Drosophila melanogaster: one gene and its partner. The protein of the gene in region 1 interacts with the protein of each later gene in a pairwise test. Each region holds a gene or a part of one and is shown in the gene's direction. Other genes may lie near its edges.

Region 1 (4,713 bases):
TATTGTCTTGATAGATATTATATATTGTTATTAAAAAAAAAAAGATTAAGATTTACTAACTTCGTACTTTTTCAAAAGGTAAACATTTATCATCCCGAAGCTGCATTATTAAATGGATACGGTTTTGATTAAAAATTAAGTACAATGTACAATATAATGATTCACTCTATACTCATACTCTCATAGCTTTTTCTCCGTGTACATATTTGGCTTGCTGTACGGTTTTGCGGGTTTGGGTGGTTTTGGGTGGCCTAGGTGGTCTGGGGGCGGGGATCAAATGGGATTTGGGGTTTCACAGAGGCGTAGGGGTTTCACCCTGGGCTCACTGCACTCGTCCTACCAACGGTCACAACTCCTCCTGGCTGCACGGCGCCTGGAAAGAGCAAAGAAAGGCGGAGAACTGTAGAAGTCACTCAATGCTCTTTGCTTTTCTTCCGGCTAATGTGCACAGAGAAAAAAATCGCAATACCAACAGAATTGGTCAGCACTTGCGGATTTCTTCGCCCGTAATTGGGAAATTGAATTTAATTAAGCTAATATGCAACAATATATTTTTTGATTTTGATGATCTTGAAGGTAAATTACACTTATTTCATTAGACTTTGGCATTGCAAAATCATTTTTTTTTTTTTGGTTGCACTTATCAGAGGTTACTCATTCTACTTACCCATTGTGCGTTAATTGTTGATAAGTTATTCCTATGAAAAATAGTTTCTTTTATTCACTTGCGTTCTTCTGACTCCAAAATGCGTCTGAACTGACCAAAGTTTGTCTTTTCACTAAACTATTGGTTTGCAAAAGCCTGACGTTTAAAAACCGAACCAGAGCGATTCGTCACTGCTTCTTATCGGCGAGCTTTTATCTTTCAATTCGCATTTGTACATATATAAAAAAAGAAGTGCAGTTGATATTGGGACCTTTGCTATCACTAATTTTAACTTCCAGTCTCGAAAGCTCCATTTCCAGAAAAGCATTCCATTTATCGATCGAAAATGAATCATTGGCCCAAACAGGCGGTACTTTTGGGAGTAAAAGAAAAAAACAAGTAAATCGAAGCATGTGGACATTGTTTTAAATGTTATTGTTGTGCCCTCTCAACAGGTGGAACCCCAATTAAATAGACCCATAAACAATATGACGCCTGCCAGAAGCGCCCATGCTCAAAAAATCCCCCCCGTTGAAGGGGCGATAAGCATGTCGAAAATTTGTACTTTTAATAGAAAAAGGATCATTCATTTTGAATTATTTTTTACCTACTGAAATATTAAAAATAATCTTTAAACCTTTAGTGTAATGTATGTGCTTATTTTATCTCTTTTAATTAATAATTTCTTTGTAATAACAAACAAACTGATTTCAAAGGACATATGTATGTATGCATTTATGTAAGGCATAAAAGGCATTAAAAAGTATAAATATACATATGTGACTCAGCGGTAACGATATCAATAACTTTATATCGCAATTGACTCATCTTTAGACCAAACAAGTGTCTGTAACTTTACAACAGTTACAGTTAGTTTTCCAAAGGTTTCTCAATTATTAGGTTTATGATTTGAATAATCCACAAGAAGGTTAGGTAACTGTTTACATGTTGGTTCTTATTTTTGTTCTAGAAAAGCATTCCTGAACTTATAGTTGATCCATGGACAGCCACCCTCATACATATAATCTTTTACGAACTTATTGATGAAGTTTATTTTTGACTACCGGCGATAAGATTCGTAGCCAACTGCTTATAGATAAAACCCGCAAAAACAAAAACAAATATTCATGCACAAGATCGATTGAGTAATTTTGGTTGCGCTTCCTGTTTAACCCAGAATTTAAATTGTTTTTACCAAACAAAATCATCCAATATACATTCTGACACACCTGTCAGTTGGTCGCAATGACGAACACCCTCTACGACATGAGGATACCTTTGTGGAACACACACAATCGAACGGTTCAGAGCAGTGTGACTAAGATATCTTATCACTGCCGGCTAACTTGCCGAACTGATAAGCGGAAACAACAGCTTTTAAGGCGCAACCGATGTGCGGGTAGCGACCAGTCGTTGAAGTCAGCCCAAACATAGCGGAGCCAGCGAGTATATAACATCACGTTCCAGACCTAAATCAACATACAAAAAAAGCACACAAATACAACATGGGAGGTGAGAACTGAAGTGCAAAGTTAGTGACTAAGATAATTCTGGCGAAAACGAAAGCATAGTGCCGCAATTAGTCGTGACAAGTGGGCAAGTGTCATCGATACTCCGCGCACCTGACAGCCGAAATCCCTTGGAGCTTTGGTAGCTTTCCATAGATCCAGCGATTCTACACCCTGACAAATAAAAGACAAAAAACCTCTACTGTGGCTGATTAATGGTGTACAGTTGGCCCTCGTTGGCCCAAGTTAACTTATCGCCTCTGACCTTGCTCTATATATATATTTTATTCGCCCTCAGACTACACCTGGATTAGCACCAACGTTTACGGATCCCTGCCCCCAGGAGCCATCCTAGCTGGCCACGACTCCGACCAGGATCCCATCTTTGTGGGCCGTGCCTACCACAATGGAGAGATGCTGCCAGCGAAGGTGGTGCCCGGCAAGCAGCAGGCCTATGTGCCATGGGGCGGTCAGGAGATCAGCAAGCATGACTTCGAGGTCCTTGTCGGTGATCACTTCTCCTGGATCCCGTCCAGTGGTGGATCTGTCCCGCCCCATGCCATCCAAGTGGGCCAGACTGGCGAGGGTGAGCCCCTGTACGTGGGCCGTGGTTACTTCCAGGGCAGCCTCACCCCCGGCAAGGTCCATCCCTCGCACCAGTGTTTGTACATCCCCTACGGCGGACAGGAGGTAGGTCTAACCCTCACTTTGATGTTATGTTGATGGATTCCCTTCATCCCCTCAACAATAACGTTCGAAGACCACGTAGTGACGAATCGCACAAGCAGTGTTTGCAATGTGATAAATCTTAGTAAATCACTTTTATCTTATATCATTTCAGCACCGTCTGGAAGCCTATGAAGTGCTGGTCCAGCCCGAGACGTGGATAGCCTCTAGCGGACGCGGCATTGTTCCCGGAACAGTGGTTGGCGGACACGACGCCGATGGCGATCAGATCTATGTGGGTCGCGCCTACCACGAGGGCGATTTGCTGCCAGCCAAGGTGAGAACCTTAAACTATATACAGCTCGTGTTCCGAAAATGTACACTTGGAGCATTCCATCTTTAAATCTGTTCTGTTGCATCCCACTTTATCTATCCACTTATCCACCACAGGTGATCCCCAACAAGGGCTGTGCCTATGTGCCCTACGGAGGCGGTGAGGTTGTGAAGCACGACTACGAGCTGCTGGCCGGATACGGGTACGGATGGGTGCACGACAGCCATGGCAATGTGCCCGGCAATGCCGTTCTCTGCGGCCGCACTTCCGACGGAGAGCCCCTGTTCATCGGCCGTGCCCACCACCACGGCAGCCTCACTCCCGGCAAGATCCACCAGTCACACCATTGCCTCTACATCCCATTCGACGGCGAGGAGGTCCGCATCGACCACTACGAGGTCCTGGTCAAGGGCTGAGCTGCTACAGCGACTAGACTTTTGTGTTGTCCCCCCGTCGTCTGCCTACTAATTTATAAATCATTTTGTTTCATTAAAAACGTCCTCTGATAAACCAAATGTCCGAAATTTTAATGAAAAATGACAAGACAGCTCATTGTTGTTGCTTGGTAAACACAAGTAATTTGTTTTAACATATTTGATATATTCTATATATTTAATAATCGCCTGCTATGAACGCTACTCTATAGCGAATTAAGTTATGCTCAAGTTTATTGGCATCGCAGCAAAAACAAGGACAGCTTGTCCAGTCATCCCTGGTTTCCATAGCTGTCAAATTCGGACAATGACTCTCCAGGCACGAAAATCCAGCAGCTGCCACAAGTGAGTTGATGATAGACCGGGGTCACTACGCCTTTTGACTTCTAGTCGACCGATTTCGGCGAACTCCAGTAATCAAGAGAGAACTATTACTAAAAGTCAGTGTGGTGGTTCACCGCCAGTTTAATGGTTTCTAGACTTTTGGAGAATCCCTGGTCTTGGTTATTAATATGGATTGAATTTTGCTGGAATATGTATATTTCCTCGCAAAAGCTTCTCGTAGGGAAATGAGAAATTGGGTAAAACGGAATAAAGAAAAGAAATAAAATATGATTCTAATCAATTTTAGTATTGATGTTTTAACAACAACGGGAACCTTTTTTATAAGTTCTTCTTCTGTGGAAAGGCTATTTTGATTTCCGATATATACAACTCAAATGATCTCGTCAAGAAGGGCGATAATCTCATACAACCAAAAAATTCGTTACACCTGAAGTTATGCTTTGTTTTGCAAGCTTTTCCAGAGCTTTCGATTGACTCTCTACATGGCGCGTAGACTTTATGTAAAGATACACCCCCAGGGTCGAATATCTTATTTTTTTTCCCCTCAGCCGCACTCGCTTGCTCTCACTCGCGCTCGCCCTTACTGCTTGCTTGTCATTGGTCGTTTGTTACCGTCGTCGGCAGCGCTATGTTTTCATTGGCTAACTGGAAATCCGGCCGCTCCCGACCTCGAACTTAATTGGTCTTCTGTAGCAAGTTTCTCAGTCTGTGGACGTGGCCAACTAAAAGTGGCAGGTGGCCAAGACAAGGCGTTTCCTATCACATTTCATTTACAAGTTA
Region 2 (5,331 bases), on another chromosome or scaffold:
AATACTGCTGCTGGGTATCTTACTCGGTGCCTGGGTCTACGGTTTACGGTGTCGTCCTCCGTTTGGCGCCACTGGTCGTCACTGATTATGCCATTTCATAAAGCAAAATTCCGGCAGCGATTGTGCAGGAGTGGCCCCAAAATGCGGCCAAGGATCGCTTGCAACCGATGCAAAAATGCTGATTGCCATTTATAGATTATGTGCATAAATCAGGAAAAAAGCTAGCTATTACTTTGGGGGCTATGAGCCATGGAAAAGTTGCAAAACATTTTGCCAATCATAATTTTATCCATCACTCTTCTCTAACGCTAATTGTCATGGCCGGGGCGTAAATTATTAAATAAGAAAAGCAACCCAAAAACAACACTAAAACTTGCCAGAGATAAAAAAAAAAACAAATTGAAGAAATTCAAAATATTGCAAAAACAAAAAAACCAGAGGAGAAAAATTAAATAAAATGCCTGTACAGATGGGTCGACCCAACAAGAGCGTGAAGCTCATTATGAAGCTTCGTGTCCAAAACGCGGACAGCAATTACAAAAGCAACATAGCCAGTAAAACAATAACAATAACAGTAACAATAATAATAACAACAAGCCAGGCCAAGTCAACTCAAGCCAACACACAACACAACCCAAAACACCGAAAGAAGCTGGCTAACAAAAGGCCGAAAGAGCATGAAGAAATGAAATAAAACCAACACCAGATTCAGTCCCACTCCAGAGCACAAAACAAAGCTTAGCCCCATCCCATCTGATCCCAAACCATACCATACCATACTATACCAACCCATTCCCCAAAACGGCTGGCTAAATGAGAGTGAATCCACATTCATTGAAATTGAAAGTGAATCGTGCCACACGATCCGATCCAGAGTCCAGACTTGGTTACGAGTCCACTGCGATTGGATCCTCTAAATGACCAAAATAACAATTTACACACATTAGCTACATATATATAATAAAGCACATATATATATATATTTATATATAAATAACAGAAATCAGAGATTTTAGGAAAAACCATGTTTCTTTGGCAATCAGTTCGAAGGAGTTGTACTCTACAGCGAATCTATACAAATGTTTTAAATGGGCGAGGGAAAAAAATGCACAAGACATATTTATAAATTAAATATTACAAAATATGACTTGCCTTTAATAATTAAACTATCTAAGCTAAGAGAGGCATTTTCTTTTAATGATAAAAGAACAAAAGGCGTGATAAATTAATAATAAGAGAACAGATATTCTCAGATATTCTTAAATTAAGCAGGAAATCGTTAAAGCTGAGGTTACCGCAAAAAAGGCTTTTATTTTCTTGCCTTGAAAATAATGGACCCTTGAAATAAGCTACATTCCAGCAGCTAAGTGTCTTCAGAAATAAAAACCATAAAAAACTATTTGATGGCCTTGCTGCCTCAAGCTTTATTTTACATACATACACTGCACCTTTCAGGTTCCTTATTTTCCCCATGAAAATAATCCTAGTTGGGCAGAAAAACAGAAAAAAAAAAACAACCAACCACATGCTCGAAAAACCACGAAAAAGAAGTAGTTAATCGAAGGAGGAAAGCCAAAGCCAAGAAACGGTCAGCAGACGTTGCAGTTTCGGTTGGCTTTGCGGTCGCCGTTTGCATCGCAGCCAGGAGCTGCAGCCTCAGTTTCCCCACCAGATCATGACTGGCCAAACTTTGGACTTGGCTTAAACATTTCAATTTCTTCATGGCTACATGCTGCTGCCGCTCTTTGCCAACTGCTCAGCCAACTTGGCCGACTGCTCGGTCGACTGCGGCAGCAGCTGAGGCAGCTGAGGCGGCTAAAGCAGCAGCGGTCTTGATCGTCGTCTTGAATTTTACTTAATTTTTATTTCACGCGCTGCGCTGCTATAAAAGAAACTGCAACAATCGTTGTGGCATGCAGTAAGAGGTTCCGCGTCGAAGCAGCACCACATTGCCAGTAACCAGTAACCAGTAACAGCCAGTAGCACCTAGCCACCTGGAGCAGTGACAAAACCCGAAACGGATATACCCGAAATAAGCCACCCGAAAATGCATTCCAGTTGTGTGGTATGATCTTGTGACCAAACCGACCAAGTGGCCGTGATGGACATCGCTTAATGGTGTGTTCTCCTCCGATCTCGTTCGCAGTTAGTGGTCCTCATGGCCCTGGCTGCCCTGGTGGCCGCTCGTCCAGAGCCGCCTCGTGACTCGTACAGTGCGCCCCCCTCCAGCAGCTACCAGCCAAGTGGACCCAGCGGAGGCTACGGCGCCCCTGCGCCCCAGTACGGACCTCCCCAGCAGGCGCCGGTGATTCACAAGCACGTCTACGTCCATGTACCTCCACCAGAGCCGGAATACCAGGCACCCAGGTGAGTGGCAGGATCAAGGATCCTCTAAGCCAACATAAGTTCCAAAGATCGCGAGTAGAATAGGGTTCCCAATAAACCTATTCTTCAACCAAGTTCCGGAAAAGGATCTATGCATACTCGTTTAAAATTTTTGTCTATACTAGATGATAATTATATCAGACCTAAAAATGGAAAAAATCTTTAAAAATGTTATTTTAGACACATTCAGTTTAATCACAAAAGATACGTATTTAAGAGTTTAAGTAATAGTAAAATTATTTATTTTGCATAGTTTCACAAAATAGAAATCGCACTACACTCCCAACACAGTGAGTGAGTGAACAATCGAGAATTTCTTCTGATAAGCCGTACAATATAAACGTACATCCTGCGGTTTTTTTCATTTCACAACGTAATCAGTTCAAATTATTCACACCCCTTATCCAGCACACTTTTTTTTCGACTTGCGTGATTGTGAGCGGTTACAAACGATCTCGCTTTATTTGTCTTGTTCCACTTAAGATTGGAAAAATATGGGGAAAAAACACATTGTTGTGTTATGAGTATATAATCCAAGGCACTTATGCAGATTCTCTCACAATTCATCGGCGTAAACCAGGCAGTGCCGTCAACTCCCAAAGATAATAACTAGACAAATGTTGCAAGAGACCAGCCGGCAATCATCTAATCCAGCTCAGGGCCCTTTTCCACAGCTGTTGCCACATTTCCAGGGTATTTAGAGGGTCGCTTAAACGGAGGAGGAACATTATTTAATACCCGCGAAAACGAAAGCCATCCAACTTTCCTCTCTTTTCGCTGATACAATGTTTTCTGTCGTCTTCTGTCTGTTTTCAATTGGAGTTGGAAGCGATGTTAATTACCACGAGAGGGGAATGATATGGCTTTGCAGACCGCCAAACCGTGACTAAAACGTTACCTAAGCTCGCCGCAGCACTTGTACTCGTATATATCTCAGTACCATTTCCAAGCAAATTATCAGGCGCAGAGGGACAGGAACTCGATTACCATAGGTAGCTTTATGTAAACCCTCGTCTCGAGGCGGTTGTTGTGACAATCGCTGTCATCGTCACAATAGTCATCATCTTCATCTGATTAGTAAAACTGACAAGCAGCTGCAGTGGGTTCAACGTTGTCGGGAGGTCACCATTTTCGGGAGGTCACCATTTATGGGCATGCCATTTGCATGCACCTCAAAGAGAAACTCCTTTCTCCCGCATCGCGGTATTTGTTCGTTCAACAAGGCAAGGTTATAGGAAGTGTGGAAAGTCATTCCAGCCTGGCCGTGTGTAATTGAAATTTTTTTATTCAGTATGTAAATTTTTACAAGCCGGAAGCAAAAAAAGTTGCGTTATATGAGGATGTGGTGTCTTACTTTACCCATAGAATTCCTAAGAAATTCCTTAAATACAGATATAGCAGAACCTTTATTTAAATACATTTTTAAATATTTTCCCAGGAAACCCCTTTACGTGCCACCTCCGCAGAAGCACTACAAGATCGTCTTCATCAAGGCGCCATCTCCACCAGTACCGACCGCCCCTGTAATACCGCAGTTCCCACAGAACGAAGAGAAGACCCTGGTGTACGTGCTAGTCAAGAAGCCGGAGGAGCAGCCGGAGATCATTATCCCAACGCCAGCTCCCACCCAACCCAGCAAGCCGGAGGTGTACTTCATCCGCTACAAGACCCAGAAGGAGGAGACCGGACCCTATCCCAACAGTGTGGCGCCTCCAGCGCCCGAGTACGGAGCTCCAGCTGCCCCGCCCGCACCCTCTGCTCCCAGCAGCTCGTATGGGGCACCATCCCACTAGGCGATCCAGTCCAACCCGAATACCGATTTGCTTATCTCAACCCAACTCATGGCAAACTGCATATCTTATGTGTATTGTATTATTTTCTGTTTCAAGGACCTTAACGCGTGACAAAGTTTACCAAGCAACGAATCTCCCCCATCCCCTCTCCACACCCAGCTCATAGGATTATTACTCCTATAGATGAGTAATTCTTATCTCTGATGTTGTTTCTACCTGATGTACGAGAAGTATGTTTTCCATCTAGGCTGTTTGTTTCAAATTGTTTGTTTAGTCTTAAGTCTAGGTCTTTAAGCGAACGATGCGTTATACACTCACACAAAACACTCGAAACACTCACTGCGAGCTAGCCTTAGTTATCGATAGAGATATCGATCCTGATACCGATTAACGATATATACGTGGTACATGATTTTCATCACAAACGCATTTTCAAGTAGGCAATTTATTCCAATTTCATATTGCACATTTCGCACACGATTTGTCATTAAATAGAATGTGCGAAGCACTCGAAATGCAACAAAAAAAAATGAAGATTAAAATGATACTCAAGTATATAATGTTAAAAACACAAAACATCAATGGCTAAATAAAAGTTTAACGAATTATCTGTACAAGATGGATTTCTTTTTGTATGTTTCACATTGCAAGTCTTAACATATGTGTACATATATTTATATATATCTGTTTACTATACATTTTCATTTGCCTCGCAAATGTATTTGAAATCAGAAGTACAAGAAGCAACCCACATGCCACCGTTATGTATAGAAACGCAACGCTGATCTACATGTTCGTATAGTGGCTCTCCAGGATTCCATTTCAAAAAAGGTGCTCTCTTTCCGGAGGACACAGATATGAAAACGCCCTTTTCAGCCAGATCACTAATGCCAATCATATAAGTGTTGTCTTTGCTTAGTTGCGAAACGATAGCATTAAAGTCTGCTTCATTTATAATTGAGGCTAGATTACCTCCCATCTTTTGACATGCGCTCAAAGCACTGGTCCAATTTTGTTGGACTATGTCTTCGATGTGCAAATATCTCGATCCGATTCGCTTGAACCTATGTAAAATATTTATTTTCGCAGACATATTCTTCAGCGACGTCGTTATACTAGTCAATGCTTCCTGTAGGTCAGATAGTTGACCCTC

What was found. Proteins that work in one complex are often made in the same cells at the same time.
Region 2: the proteins of CG13321 (region 1) and TwdlE interact in a two-hybrid assay, tested with the Drosophila melanogaster proteins (one large-scale study listed by BioGRID).

The regions. Positions count from the first base shown.
Region 1 is NT_033778.4:12,951,506-12,956,218, forward strand, and holds CG13321 (uncharacterized protein), read left to right. Parts: upstream 1-1,606; 5' UTR 1,607-2,151; coding exon 2,152-2,158; intron 2,159-2,452; coding exon 2,453-2,844; intron 2,845-2,995; coding exon 2,996-3,157; intron 3,158-3,270; coding exon 3,271-3,570; 3' UTR 3,571-4,207; downstream 4,208-4,713. Other genes in the region: CG44251 (uncharacterized protein), read right to left, coding at 668-671; CG44250 (uncharacterized protein), read right to left, coding at 341-373, 668-671.
Region 2 is NT_033779.5:7,857,417-7,862,747, reverse strand, and holds TwdlE (TweedleE), read left to right. Parts: upstream 1-1,908; 5' UTR 1,909-2,047; coding exon 2,048-2,065; intron 2,066-2,146; coding exon 2,147-2,367; intron 2,368-2,627; exon of another isoform or gene 2,628-3,823; coding exon 3,824-4,178; 3' UTR 4,179-4,791; downstream 4,792-5,331.